Astyanax mexicanus: one gene and its partner. Each later gene encodes a partner of the first gene's protein in a complex. Links are inferred from orthologs where the notes say so. Each region holds a gene or a part of one and is shown on either strand. Other genes may lie near its edges.

Evidence for each region.
Region 2: dnaaf10 (region 1) and uxt share a complex: the UniProt entries of both Homo sapiens proteins name them as parts of the PAQosome complex. The link is inferred for Astyanax mexicanus from reciprocal best matches to the Homo sapiens genes DNAAF10 and UXT.

The regions. Positions count from the first base shown.
Region 1 is NC_064414.1:16,653,745-16,661,360, reverse strand, and holds the start of dnaaf10 (dynein axonemal assembly factor 10), read left to right. Parts: upstream 1-4,579; 5' UTR 4,580-4,832; coding exon 4,833-5,018; intron 5,019-6,177; coding exon 6,178-6,278; intron 6,279-6,369; coding exon 6,370-6,500; intron 6,501-6,604; coding exon 6,605-6,706; intron 6,707-6,817; coding exon 6,818-6,933; intron 6,934-7,616. Other genes in the region: RNA-binding protein PNO1, read right to left, coding at 1,504-1,571, 2,446-2,516, 2,638-2,755, 2,837-2,897, 3,153-3,236, 3,343-3,492, 4,189-4,353. UniProt on the Homo sapiens protein: Key assembly factor specifically required for the stability of axonemal dynein heavy chains in cytoplasm.
Region 2 is NC_064419.1:3,787,447-3,795,025, forward strand, and holds the start of uxt (protein UXT), read right to left. Parts: upstream 3,105-7,579; 5' UTR 2,765-3,104; coding exon 2,682-2,764; intron 1,503-2,681; coding exon 1,421-1,502; intron 296-1,420; coding exon 228-295; intron 136-227; coding exon 28-135; intron 1-27. Other genes in the region: zgc:86609 (ER membrane protein complex subunit 3-like), read left to right, coding at 4,550-4,704, 5,564-5,621, 5,766-5,859, 5,962-6,066, 6,798-6,879, 7,166-7,245. UniProt on the Homo sapiens protein: Involved in gene transcription regulation. Acts in concert with the corepressor URI1 to regulate androgen receptor AR-mediated transcription. Together with URI1, associates with chromatin to the NKX3-1 promoter region.

The DNA of each region.
Region 1 (7,616 bases):
TGAACTTAAACCCTCTCAATAACCTGGTGTAGCACTTTACTGACTGAAAAACGGCTATGAGTGTCTCTATCTGGAGAAGGGAAGACGGGTTGGCTTGTTCATTTTTTGTTTTGTAATGTTTATTTATTATTTGAAGTATTTATTTTGTCTGTAACTTTTTCTAATCAGCTATTTAACTTGTTTTCAGAGGAGAAAAATAATATTCAGTATCCGTACAGACCTTGGTTATGATGTGCCAATCAGAACATGGAATTGACAAACTTTACGTAAATACTGCCTGTCATTATTATTTTTTGGGCAAACATGTTTGGTGCATTTTTTTTTTTCAAGCCAAAAACATTTTTGTTTTTTATTTTACACATTGTGGTATGCGATATTTATCATTATTGCATTTAATCATGTTCCATGATACCGTTTTCAATTGTGATAGATTGTTTATTTATAAATATTTATATTATTGCAGAGTAACTTGTGTTTAACTCTTGTGAAACAGTCAAACAGAAACAGATGCCAAGAAAACAGCTGTGTTCATAGTTTACCTAAACATCGTCTTCTTTAGGGTCTTTTTAAAACAGGTGCACTGAAATAGTCCTAATATACTATCAGTGAGCATATATCAAATCAATCTACTGCAAAAAACTGGTCATATTAAAAATGATAACTCCATTGTTAATGGTGAATTTAATGTTTAGGTGGGACTGCAATACACTGGAAAGTTTCCGCATGACAAGTTTAGAGTCTGAGGGGAAAGAAGGTTTTCCTCTTTAATCACTCTCTGTATTTCCTTCATCGTTCTTTAACTGCAGCTCTCTGTGCATCTTGAAACCCTTGGAGCTTCTCCAGTGCCTGCATGCACGTTTTCCTTTCTGCATGTTTTCCAATTTACAGCACTCCTACTGTTTACACTTAGATTGTGATGTTAATATCAAATATCTAAGAATCATGGATGTTGCCTATGTTTAGTTAACTCATTTCTTTTAAAATGTTCCTGATTAAATTAGAGTGGCAGGGACCTGACTGGGATTTACTCAGTCAAACAGAAGATCTTACATACTGGTTGTGGTGGGTTTTTTTTTTTTAATATTAAAACATCATTTATATGGGGAAAGTAAACTTCACTCCAGCTTTACTTTGATGGAATGGGAATTTCACCACATTTCAGGTGTGGGATGTTCACTCTGCATGCTGCATTGTATTGCCTACTGTGGGAATACACAGACTTGATACTGTATGAAAATAAATCTTTAAAATATCACATTTCTCACTGAATCTATGAGTTGCCTCTTTTCCAGCGCTATGTGATTTTTATTTATTTTTGATCAATTCTTAAGTGAATATTTACAGAAATTACTGATCCATCAGACAGTCAGAAATGACGGGACAGTTCTTTAGTTCCGGTTGGGTATATTTCAGACCCGTGTTCCTGTGTGTCTAATCTGCCACATTTCTGTATGAGTCCATCAGCTGCACCACAGGTCCCAGATCAGAGAAATCCAGCCAGCGTTAGAATCTCTCAGCTGAACGACTGGCAACCGCTCGGATGTTCCCATACACCTTTGATGGTGGGCTCCCTGATGAGGTGAAAGGAAACATCAATCCAGTTACTAACCATCCATTTCATCACCCAACCTCTTATACACACATACACACACACACACAGCTCAGTGGCCTCCAAACCTCACCCACAGAGCTCCCTTACAGCACGTTACAATTCAAATCCAACACCTTTCTTTTATTTGGGTAAGGTTGGGGTATTAGGTTACGGTTTAAATTATTATTTTTTTGGACATATAAAACAGTATAAAAACATTAAGGTAATCTATGTTGCACCCTTTGCTGACACGGATGTGCTAACACAAACACACAGTGTGTCTAGTCTCTGTAGAGTACTTGATGCTAATAGAATAGGACTAGATAAAACATGATCCTTTTCACCCCATACCTAATGCTACACAGTGGAACTGTGTTCTCTAAAATGATGAAGCTTATGTAGCTAAATGCAATTAACTGCTCAAAGAAATGTTTTAAGTATAAAGTCTTCCCTGCACAGGAGACACAGTTAAGGCTGGTTTATACTTCTGAGTCAAGTCAACGCATTGCCTACAATGTAGTCTGCGTGAGAGCCTGACATAGTGGGCATGTTTATTCTTCTGTATTCATGTGTACACGACTCTGAATCACTCTGCAGTATAAACCATGAAGGCAGGAACACAAAGCTCAGTAGACCAATCACAGCTGCTGCTGCTGCTGTCAGAGTTCTATAGTTACATTTCTGGGGAGGTGTGCGTCGGGTTATGGCGTAGGTTCGATGCAGAATTATAAATTGGAATTTACTCCAACAAAAGCACTTAAAATTATTTAAAATAAATTTAAAAGAAACAGTGAATGTCAGGTGTTCCAATACTCCAGGAGCAGGTTAAAAGCCACCAGCCTGCCTTTACTTACCCAAAATGAGATTGCATATAGCTGTCCGTGCCATTTTTATGTTCTGAAAAGATCCTAATATGTGAACCTTCCTGCAAAAATAAAAGATAAAATGTATTTATTAGCACACATACAAATGAATATTTTTTCTTAAAATAAGCAATTAACTGTTCAATTAAACAAAAAATGAACAAACATTTACAATGCACTCACGTGTCTGCCAGGACTATCCTAGTTTTGGTGACGTTTTCAATAGTGAATTTAGTTTTTCCTCCTTTGCCTGCTATTCTACCAACAGCTCTACAGAGGTGATCTCCTTTCAGAGGCTTAACTAAAATTACACAAATAAAACCACTTTACAAATGAGACATTACGAGGAGTAAATGCACATCAATGCTGAAATTAGACTTACCATCTGTGACATCAAATGTTTCCAAAAACAGTTCATCCAGTCTGATGAGTGCAAGTGCATCCTGAGGAACAGTTCAAAAAATTATTTTTCACAGTAATTCATAAATATACAGTGATGTGAAAAAGTATTTGCCCCGTACAGATGTGTTTTTGGCATCAACAACTGCAATAAAACTGTTTTTTTTATATATTCACTTAGGTTATCTTTTTTCTGAAAAATGTAAGTATGACAAAAAAAGCAAAAACAAGAAATCTATATAGGGCAAATACTTTTTCACTGCACTGTAATCTTCAAAATACTGTGTCTAAATACCCACCTCAACTTGAAATCCCAAAACAAATGCCTTTACAAAGTCTGCTGCTTTCGTGAGCGCACCAATATCTTGTGTTTCCTTGCACGTCTGAAAATGTATAAATAAATACATTTACGAAAAGGAAGAATAATGAAAGAGTTTCACAGTTCCAAGCCCTTTCACAACCACATTTAATGAAATAATTTGTCTTTACCTTAATCTCAACATTTCTTGTTTTGAGATTAAATCTGACTTGAAGTTGCAGGTTCTCAACAATGGGGGTAAATATTTTAAGCCAGTTGTCCTTCAACGGTGTGTAGCGGTGAGAAGGAACAGGTATTTTCCTCATCTCATCAGCACCTCCCTGAAAAACAAACCAGATATGTTTAAGATAACAAAACAACAACAATAAAAACACTTATTTTGTAGTGTTGTAAACTCCTGTACACTAACTCTCTCATTCTGACTGAAGAGATGGAAGTGACGAAATGGCTCTTAGACGAGCTGAGCGAGAATACCAGAGACTCAAACTTATATTAATAGATCATCATCAACAACACTGATAAACACAACCTGATTACAGCTAGCTAAAATGTTGTCTGCTGTATCCATCCTTGTAACGTTACCTAAATATTAGACATTATCTTATTTACACGTGTGAACACCTATGGAACCAGGATTTAAAGCCCACATATTATCGATCTGGACACGTGTGAACGAGCCTGAACAAACAGCGTGTCTCTGACTTCTACTGGATACGTGTGTGCTTGGTTTTATGGGGTAGTGTACACATAACCATTAGGTGTAATAACTTTGTTAGAGCGCTTATATATTTTTTGTTAGGTTAAGTTTTTTTAGTAAACACACTTGCTAACAAGTACCGTGGCTACTGCTCATGCTGAGGATCTGCGCATGCGCAAAACAGCACACGTGTATGGCTTTGCCCTCAGAAACTCTTTGACATTTCTATAAATAAACCCGCAGCTACCGTCGGAGTCAATCCGATTATTAGCCTGGTTATTAACCTGGGTCACAGGACAGAACCCGGTCAGTGTTGTACCTGCAGTAAATCGCCTGATATGGGGGGGAACTGCGGCCTCTTGGGCGCAGCAGGCTCGTCGCTCTCCATGCCCGCGTCCTGCGCCGCTCTCTTCCGCTTCTCCCGCCGCTTCCCCCGGACCTCCTCAAACCCCGGCTCGGGCAGCGTGCTCTCCGCGGTCTCCATGCTGGAGGGTTTGGTGTTTATTCCTCAGATTCAATAAAAACAGGAGAATTAATAACTCCCTGTTTACCTGTAGCACGCGCTCCCTCACTCTACTCACAAGGACCCCGGGCCGAGCTGTCTGAACACGCCGGACTGAATAAAAGCGGGAGCAGCGCGGCGAGGGGAGATAAACACCGAGAGAAATGTGATTAAACTGTGTTTAAGATTGAAATGAAATAGAGTTAGTGTGCTGAGGGCAGGGCTGTCTACGATGTGGTCTGAAAAATAAATATTTGTATGGGCCGGGCGGTCAGGCAGTTCTGTGGACAGCTGCGGTGTTGGTTCAGGGGTCCTCGGTCGGTCAGAGTGCAACACTGAAGCGTTAACGTTAGTTAGTTCAGGTTAGAGTAGAGAACTGAGTTCTGTATAGTGGAGCTCTGTGTGTAGAGCTGTATAAATATATATTTTATATAGTAAAGTTATATAGCGGTAGGAGCGGGATGTCGGCTCCACTGGACAAGCCGCAAGTTGTCTCCCACAGTCAGAAGAGTCTGAATTACTCGCTGTTCGACAGTAAATGGATTCCCTGCAGCGCGAAGTTCGTGTGTTTGGGAAGTTCCTGCAGAGGAACCGGATTAATGCAGATCTACGAGCTGCAGCACGGAGACATAAAGCTCGTTAAAGAGGTGAACTCTAGCTCTTTATCACTGTATCGCTGTAAAAGTGTCTGATTCTCTAGTTTAGAGGGTCTGTAACTCGCTAATGTCTCTGAGATTTCTAGAACAGTCCGGCTGTCGGTTGTCATAGCAACGGGGATTAACAGGGACAGCTCTGATAATATATTTCAGCGTGTTTTTACAGCAGCCACGTCCTCGTGTGATACGAAAACAACACTGAAATATACAACTCTGATGAGTTTCTTTGATTTTACTAAATTTTAGTAAACTTACTATGTAATATAATCAAGAGGAATATGGATGATCACAAGCCATCAAACCAAGCTGAACTTCCTGAATTTTTGCAACAGGAGTGGCATATAGTTATCCAAAATCAGTGAGCAAGACTGGTGGAGGAGAACATGCCAAGATGCATGAAAACTGTGATTAAGTTTTTTTTTTTTTTTTTCATTTTGTTGCAGTAGTGTATTCTTGTAATAATTTTTATAACTCAGTGTTTTGTCATATTGCCAAGAGTATTGTGATCACGAAAATACCATGAAATATTGTGATATTATTTTAGGGCTTCATCAACCACCCATACTCCTTTATTAATCTCTCCACCTCTCTTCACTTCAAATTCTATGATATCTCACTTAGTAGCTCTTTTTGTCATCCAATGCAATCAAATCCTCACAGCATTGCTCCAAATCTAGTAGAAAGTCTTTCCTGGCCAGATGTCACAGTTGCTACAATAAAAGCAGGATAAACTTTTATTTAGAACTTGTATTACCAGAAACAATGAATGCAGCATGTGTCTCGATATTTTAAATATTTATAACTTCCAAGCAGAGATTCTAACAAAACACAATACTGTTCAGAATAAATTTGTCTTTAGCTTTACTTAACACTTATTACTTGATTTTTTTTTTGTTATTTTTGTTGAGTATCCCAGTTTCGGTGCATCCCTACTAACAACGATGGCCGTTGACTGTGTTTGCTTATGTTCCCCACAGTGCTGATCAAAATTCTAGGAAATGTATATATTTAAACATTTGTATGTACTCATGATTTTATGATCTTAAGTTACATTTAATCTAATCCTACATGTAGTGTACTGATCCGCACACATGCTCATGACTGCATTCATTAGCACTGCTTAGTTTTGTGTTCTGTTTCTGTATTTCAGACGGAGAAAACCAAGCCCATAAAATGTGGGACGTTTGGAGCTTCATCTCTCCAGCAGAGGCATTTGGCCACAGGAGACTTTGATGGAAATCTACACGTGTGGTATTAATAATTTTTTTTTCTTAAATTTTTTTCTTTCTAGTATGTTAGAGTTTTTACTAACAGGCTGACTGAAGTATGAATGTTTGTTTAGGAATCTGGAAGCGCCGGATGTCCCGGTTTACTCGGTGAAAGCCCATAAGGAGATAGTGAACGCTGTTGATGGCGTTGGAGGTTTAGGTATTGGAGATGGTGCTCCAGAAATCGTTACAGGAAGCAGAGACGGTATGCGTTACTGCTTTCGAGATGCACACTACAATAGAAAGTTTGCTATTAGGTACGAACAGTAGTTTGTAATCAGGCGTACGTATTTTGACTTGTTTTTGTAGGTACAGTTAAGGTGTGGGACCCGAGACAAAAGGACACACCTGTGGCAAACATGGAGCCAGTCGAAGGAGAAACTAAGAGAGATTGTTGGACAGTTGCTTTTGGTGTGTATTTTACACTATATCCAGTTAATATGTCAAAAGTTTGCCAACAAGCACAAACATGTTTTACTCCATTTAGTTGTAAATCTTTATTTATTTATGTTACATTGAAAGGTCACGCCTTTAATGACCAGGACCGCTGTGTGTGTGCTGGTTACGACAATGGAGACATCAAGCTGTTTGACCTGCGGAATATGTCTGTACGATGGGAGAAAAACATTAAAAATGGCGTATGTGAAATTTTATTTCTTTCTCATTTAAGTGTACGATTTATTAGTTTTAGTTGGAATCATGTCCTCAGGTTTTCTGCAAAACATTTTTCTTTGGTCTTTTTGTCAACCCCAGTGCTCCAGAGTTTATAAGGACAGCATTAAAACCTTTACAATTTGTGATTAGGATTACAGTTTAATACTGCTTTACAAACATCAAATAAATCAGACATCAATGTTGAGGTGTCTTGTGTAAATGTCATGTTTAACATCGAACCACAGATTTTCAGTGCTGTAAATAGGAACTATTCTCTTACATTAGCTGCCACACAATCCCAATGCATAATGTTTTATAATCAAATATTGTTTTTTGTCTTTTCGAACATATATGGAAAAAAAGTATTGCAGTTCCTGCTTCTTCTGAAATAGTGTTTATTCGTAGCATTGCTATGAGGATTTGATTGAGTTTAGTGATGAGCATTAGTGATGTTTGGATGCTGTTTGATCACGGCCACCTTATGCCCAACTCCTCAACTCATCCCATTAAAAAGTGTCATTCCAGCACACTTTCTCTGGGGTCTTTACACTCCTAGCCAGTGGCTGGCAAATGAACCAAAAAGGTTCATATTTATCTGCTCCAGGGAATCCTATTCTATTGGCAGGAACTAGACAAGCTGTGTGTGCACTTGCACAACAATGTCAGC
Region 2 (7,579 bases), on another chromosome or scaffold:
GTGTGTGTGTGTGTAAGCATGTCTCACTCTGTAAGCTGTTTGGTCTTCTTTTCTATGAACTTCAGCGCTTCAGAGAGTGTGAACTCAACAAAAAACCCATACCCAACTGCAACAAAGATTTTAGAAGTGTCCGGTCTGAAACAGAAAGAAATCCACATCAGTCAGGCATGGAGATGCACACGGCAGAGAGCGCTGAGAGCGAGAGAAACCAAAGAAACCACACTCACACTTGAGCTTGAACATAGAAATTACAGCCAAGGTCTACATCTGTCTTAAGCTCTTTGCTGTCAGCTTCCTGAAAGGTAAGAAAGGCTACAGAGTCAGAAGTGGTGAGAACATACAGCAATCTGCCTTAATGATAATACAAGTTCTTTGTATTTCACTTAATGTGCATGTTATCAGGTTCACTGGGACTATAGGAGCACTTTGACACTGTTTCTTTTTATACTTTACTATGCCTCAAATTACCCTGTTCTCCAATGTTCAGGACTAGGGATGGGCGATATGGCCCTAAAATAATATCACAATATTTTACAATATCGATACTCTTGGCGATATGACAAAACAAGGAATTAAAAAATAATAATTTTAAGAAAACACTACTGCAACAAAATGAAAATGTAATTTTATTATTGCATACAATATGATATGGCACACCCCTAACTGAGATATATAATGGGAAATGAGCTCAGTGTGATTTTTGAAATTGTTTTTGCTAAAAACAGTTAAAAAAAAAGTACCCTGATGTGATAATTAGGGGTGTGTGATATGGCACAATATTTCAAGATATAATATCGATCATGATATTCAAAACCATTGGCAATATTATTGCGACGATGCAATTTGGCACACCCCAATTCAAGACCATGACAAAGCAGGTAAATGTACCTCAGGTGTGTTCAGGTACATTTCTCGTTTATTGCTATCTTAGCAACAGAAAACACAGGTGTGCCACGAACTAAAAACAACCTAGACAATAGTCATCAGTCAGATGTTCATTGCTATCTTGGCAATGCAGTATGCAGATAGACAGAACCACAGGATTACAGTCTATAATTATTGAACTGCAAAGTGCAAGTGCTCCTTTTTGCTCAGTTTACAAAAGCTATGGAGCAGATACATAATATCAGTAGGTCAGTATCAGCAGAAAATGCATGAATGAATCAGGAAAAAACGAATCTGATCCTGTAACTAAAACCAATCCTGAGAAAAACATGCACAGTGAGGTTGTTAGGTGTGTGTATCTTCCTTTAGGCTATGGGAGTGGTTTTAACACGGTGGCCTACTTTTAGATGCTCATCTTACTGGAATATGTTAATACCGGTATTCTGTTTTTTGGTCATTTTTACATGAGAGTACAGATTTGAATGCAGTTGAGAGGCAGTGAAACTAGAAACAAATAAAATACAATAAAGTGTACCTGAATACTTTTGATTGTATTCTTCAGCTGGAGATACTGTGATATTTTATCATACACTCCATCTCTCTGTTCCAACACTGTCCTAGATAAAACAAGCACAGTTACATTATATATATATAAATATAATGCAGTACAAAACATTAGAATTAAAAAGCATCTTATCTGGCCAGGTGTGAATGGGGAGCATGAGTGTTAAATGTGGGGTTCTCTTATAATGGCAAATGAATATTTAACATGGCACCTCATAATAAAGAACTCTCTGAGGATGTGAGAAACTGAATTGTTGCTCTACACAAAGATGGCCATATGCTAGCATACTAAAACTGAGCTACAGCACAGTGGCCAAGTTCATACAGCGGTTTAACAGGACAGGTTCAAATTTTATATAAGCCATATCCGGATGTTTGCTTAAAAAATGACACATAAGTGCTGCCAGCATTGCTGCAGTGGATGAAGACATTGGAGCCTGTCATTGCTCAGACCATCGGATTCATACTATATTAACTCAGTCTGGATAGCCATCTTCTAAAACTGAAGCAAAAGAAAGCCTACAAACAGTCTGCAGAAGACATGCAATCCAGGAGAGTGCAGTCCACTGATTGATCTATTTTAGGCTTTTATTTATATTATTGTTGATTAATATGGCTTACAGCCAATGAAAACTTCAAATTCAGTCTATAAAATTAGAATAGACCAACTGGTCCTTTTGGCAGAGTGGGCAGCGTGCCAAGTCCTGCTGGATAATGAAATCCGCTGTAAGATCTTCCGGGATAACAGTGCACTGACTTTGAACCTGATGTAACACAGTGGACCAACACCAGCAGATGACATTAAATTAGTTTATTAAAAGTTAATTCATTTAATTTCTTGTTAATTAATTGAATAATGTGTTTGAAAGAATCAGTTGTAAAGTTGTGAAGCGGTAGAATAGGTATACATTGATTAGCCCTATTTGAGTAATGTTCTAATTCATATTATGAGAAGCAAGAACTACTCAATAAAATAAAGACAAATGTTTAAGAAAAATGAAGGTCAGGCAATTTAAAAGGAACAATTTTAAAGAACTTTAAAATTATCTTCAAGTGTAGTCACAAATGTTCTGATGAAACAGTTTTCTCTGTTGTACAGGATAAATAAATAAGAATCCACAAGTTTTCAGCACCAATAAGGTACCAAGGTGCCTGAAACATCTGCACAACACAGTGTGATGTATATAAAGGCTAAATAAACAAATTTCTCATGTCAGTGTACAGCTACTCACTGTAAATCTCTCTTCAGAACGTCACTGATAAAAGCTTCATACTGCAGGACTTTGTCGTCGATGTTGAGATTACCAGAAGTCATCCTGCTAATTTAGTTACAGCTGCAGTTTCCACGTGGCACGGTAAAAAAACAAGCTGGATCTAGAATAACCTCATTAAAACACCGAAATTCAGGTTTTTCTTCTCCTGAGCTGCAGAATGAAGCTGACAGCTGAGAACCTGCTAACAGGCTAGCTAGGCTAGTTAGCTAGCAGTTATTTCAGGACTGACAGGTTAACTAGCTTCATAAAACACACACGCTGAGATATTAACACTTTTCCTGCGAGTAAATATCTAATAATTACTGATCTGCCTCGCGTAATCCTGCGCCATGTGAGAGTAAAGCGGTTGTTTACAAGATACCGGAAATAGCCATGACACGCAGCAGGAAACGAGAGGAACTTAAATTAATTATTATTATATTTTTTTAAAACTGATTTAAAAATTCAGAATATAAATAGAAAATATATGCTACACGTTTTGATTGGTATATTATAATAATAAATAAATACTATTAATAATACTTTTAATAATACAGGTGTTCATATTTAAATAACGTTAATATATTTACTTTATAAAAAAACAAAACGATATTTCCAATTTGTTAGAAATTTTAAACACATTTTAAATAATTTAATAACTAAGAGCTCAGGCTTTATTTATTCAGTTGTTTAAATTGTAGCTTAGCAAATGTATTCACGTTTTCCTTTATGTTTCATACAGAAAATACAAATTATTGTATTATAGAAAAAAATATTTTTGTGTTTAAAGATATACAAAAGTTCATTTTTAAAATAATAATCAGACCCAAATCATTAAGCTTCTTTCGTTACCGTTAGCTTACATTTTTGTTTAGTTTAAATTTTAAAAAATACATAAAACATAACATCATATTAATAGCATATTAATAGCAATTGGTCGCATATTGCTCTGATATTTAAACGATTATCTATATTTCACATCTATTATTATATTTATTTATTTAGAAGATTGAGTCCAAAATGAATGGATGTGAATAGGGCTAACAGCTAAAAACTAAAACTAAAAAAAAAAAAAAAAATAGTTACTATTCACTAATTCTTGACATTCCTTTAATTTTATAAATTGGATTAAATAATTTCTAAAAATGTAAAGAAAATATGCCTGTATGTTTCCTTTTTCTACAGCAAACAGGTTTTGGACAACAGATTCGCTAGCAATGCTGCTAACTACTGTGTGCTGATTGGTTGGTAAGAGATGTTGGTCATAGTGGAGTCAAACTGAGCACGTTTAAAAGGCGTATACTGGAGTTTTGACTGGATATCTGCGGTACTGAAACGTTTAATATATTCTGGGTCGAGCCAATTAGTATTTATTTCAGTGTAAACAATATCAAACATTTATAAATTTATTTTTAAACTGATTTTGCTCAATTGCTCCATATGAGTCCATTCATTTTGGACTCACTGTGGAGCGCCCTCTAGTGGTTGAACAAACACGCAGTAGATTTTTAAGTGGGTATTCTCCGCTCTATACGTTCTCTGGCCGTGCCATGCTGCGTCTCCTGCAGAGTACAGAGTTAGCTTAGCACTGTAGCCTAGCTAAGGTAGCGAAGTCGTGTCCTAGACCATAATTAACATTAGCTAAGTAGCTCAATAGCTCAACAATGAGGCTCACGGGGCTTCTTTAGTTTTCAAGTTGTATTTATAAGGCATAGTCACTATTTATATTATTAGTACTGTACAGTAATTTAAATTAGAGGTAGAATAAATGCTATATGCTAACTTGACCCGAGTTTAAAAGTTTAGGTTGGTTAGCTTAGATAGCTAATATTAACTTTTCTCCAAACATGGCTGGACCCGAGCTGCTGCTGGACTCCAGTATTCGTCTGTGGGTAGTTCTGCCCATTGTCTTTATCACGTTTTTTGTTGGAGTTCTGCGTCATTATGTCACTCAGCTTTTACAGAGTGATAAGAAAGTGGACCTGGAGCAAGTCTCTGACAGGTGAGAGGACCTCTGACTCAAACCCAAACCCACAACTAGCTTATCTACTCTGTTTACTCAGTTATGACTGGATAAAATTGATCAAATCACCCCAAACTAGCTCAATTACACTGTTTACCCAGTTATGAGTGGGTAAAATTGTTCAAGTGACCCAAAACTAGCTTATTAAATTATCAACTCATTTTTGACTAGGTGAAAATCAAACGGCCCAAAACTAGCTTATTTAGACAGTACTGAACTAGCTTTACTGTTTACTCAGTTATGACTGGGTATAAGAAATTAAATTTCCCCAAAATAGTTTATTTACACTGTTTACTCAGTTATGACTGGGTATGATTGATCAAATTTCCCCAAACTATATAATTTAGATTGTTTACTCAGTTAATACTGGGTAAAGTTAATCAAAACTAGTTTATTTACACTGTTTAATTAGTTATGGGTAAAGTTAATAAAAGTACCCAAAACTAGCTTATTTAGACAGTGCTAAACTAGCTTTACTCTGTTTACTCAGTAATGACTGGAAATTTTAATAAAATTATCTAAAACTAGCTTATTTACACTGTTATGTTACTTAGTTATGACTGAGTAAAATTAATCAAATGACCCACAACTAGCAGTTGCAAATGGGTAAAATTTATCAAAAACGACCCAAACTATTTTATGTAGATAATTTACTTAGTTATGACTGGGTAAAATTGATAAAATTATACAAAACTAGCTTATTTAGACAGTGCTGAACTAACTCTATTCTGTTTACTCAGTTATGATATAATAACTAATTATAATGACATTTTTCTGTACTCTGTACTGAATCATGCATTCATTAATTTATTTTTTAATGTTATAATGTGTTTTTTAGCCAGGTGTTGATACGCAGCCGCGTTCTCAGAGAGAATGGAAAGTACATCCCTAAACAGGTAATCTTTTTCTATAAGATGAAGCAACTTTAAGTAGATTATCATATCCAGTTTTTAACAGGCAGATTCTGGGCCCAGTTTCAGCAGCTGGATCTGGAAAGTTTATCCTCTGTTGCTCATTGTTAATCTCTGTTTGATTTCCAGTCATTTGCCATGAGGAAACATTACTTTAACGATGCTGAAACGGGTTTCTTCAAGAAGGTCAAGAGGAAAGTGGTGCCCAAAAATCCTATGACTGGTAAGCGCTGATGATGTAAACATTGATTGGGTGCTGTGAATTAAAACAGAATCACTTTTGGTGGGAAAAGATCTTTTTACATTTTCTGAATTCTATTTCCAGATACCAGCATGTTGACTGACATGATGAAAGGAAATCTCACCAACGTGCTGCCAATGATTGTAATCGGTGGCTGGATCAACTGGGCTTTCTCTGGGTTTGTCACTAGTGAGTACAAGTTGGTCATCCTGAGTCTCCTAAGACTCTCAAAGAGTTGTTTTAAACCCTGGAGCTGGAGTACCTTCTGCCCAGCACATTTTCGAGGGTTTCCAGGTCTAAATCGTCTTAGAGGGGTTTGTAAATTAGCTGCTTCTGTTGAGGCTGAGGTGGGTTGAGAGGAGGGTAGACACAAAGCCCTCGTCCACACGTTTACGTTTTTGTCTGATAACTCCTATTTTTCCTTATTTAAACTCTCACATCACATCAAATGCATGTTTTCTTGTCTAAATCTCATACATTATTCCCTATATAATTAATCATGTAAATTTTAAAACTACAGCATCTGCAGATAGCATGATTTCAGATTTCTACATATGAATAAATTGTATTTTATCATTTATTACATAATAATGCTCTGTTTAGATTTAAAATCTGTAAGGAGTAGTGTAATTTTTGTTTTTTCTTTCTCTCTTTGAGGTACAGTCAATCCATACAGCATAATCAGTGTTTCCCTCCATTTAGAGAGACATATGCTAACAGAGAGAGGAAAAGCTGGGTTTTTAAAAAAGTAATTTCTTGAAACTTTGCAGTTTTTATGACTCTTTCAAATAAAATTCACTGATCTGCTAAAGTAGCGTTTTATCAGGAGGACTTTGAGAATAAAGATCTTTATATTGAAAGTCTTGATTCTTGATTGTGGAAATAGTCTTAAAGTATTTTGTTGCTTTTTCCACCCACAGCTAAGGTTCCCTTTCCACTGACTCTGAGGTTTAAACCGATGCTGCAGAGAGGGATTGAACTGCTGTCGCTGGATGCGTCCTGGTATAATATTTAAACTCCTATATTACTATAGTGTTAAGGTCACGAAAAAAAATAACGTATCTCCATTTAGTTGTTTGTACATTGACTTTCATTGAAAGCTAATAATGTTTCTACTTTCTTTTTTAAAATTCCCTTATTGGAGATACAAGGTTTTGGCGTATATATTGAGTCATGCAAATTTTTCTGGCAATGATTTCAGATTATGAAAGCGATTAAGAGAAAATGAGATTAGACACTTCTTTTGATTATTATTTAAAAATAAAATGTTAAAAATATATTTTTACAGGGTGAGTTCAGCCTCTTGGTATTTCCTTAATGTGTTTGGGCTGCGGAGCATGTACTCTCTCATACTCGGGCAGGACAACGGTAAGCAGAACTGTTTTATTGTTTTTTTTATTGTTTATTTTATGATCTGAATGTGTGTGTTTTAAGCAGACATTTGGAGCTGGTTCAGTTGTGCACAGTAAGATATATATGATTAGCCATTCTTGTCATTTTAACTTGAACGTAACATTAGCAGTACATCACCATGGCTGGATTACTGACAGCGGCCAGTGGGGCCTTGAGGTCAGGGGGCCTGGGGGGGACCTGGCCCAAAAAAGTTTGCAATGCCTATCAATATTTATAATACAATATATTTTTATTTCCAAGGGCTTCTATGAATATTAGCGACTTTGACCCAAGGGCCTCTTGAGGGCCC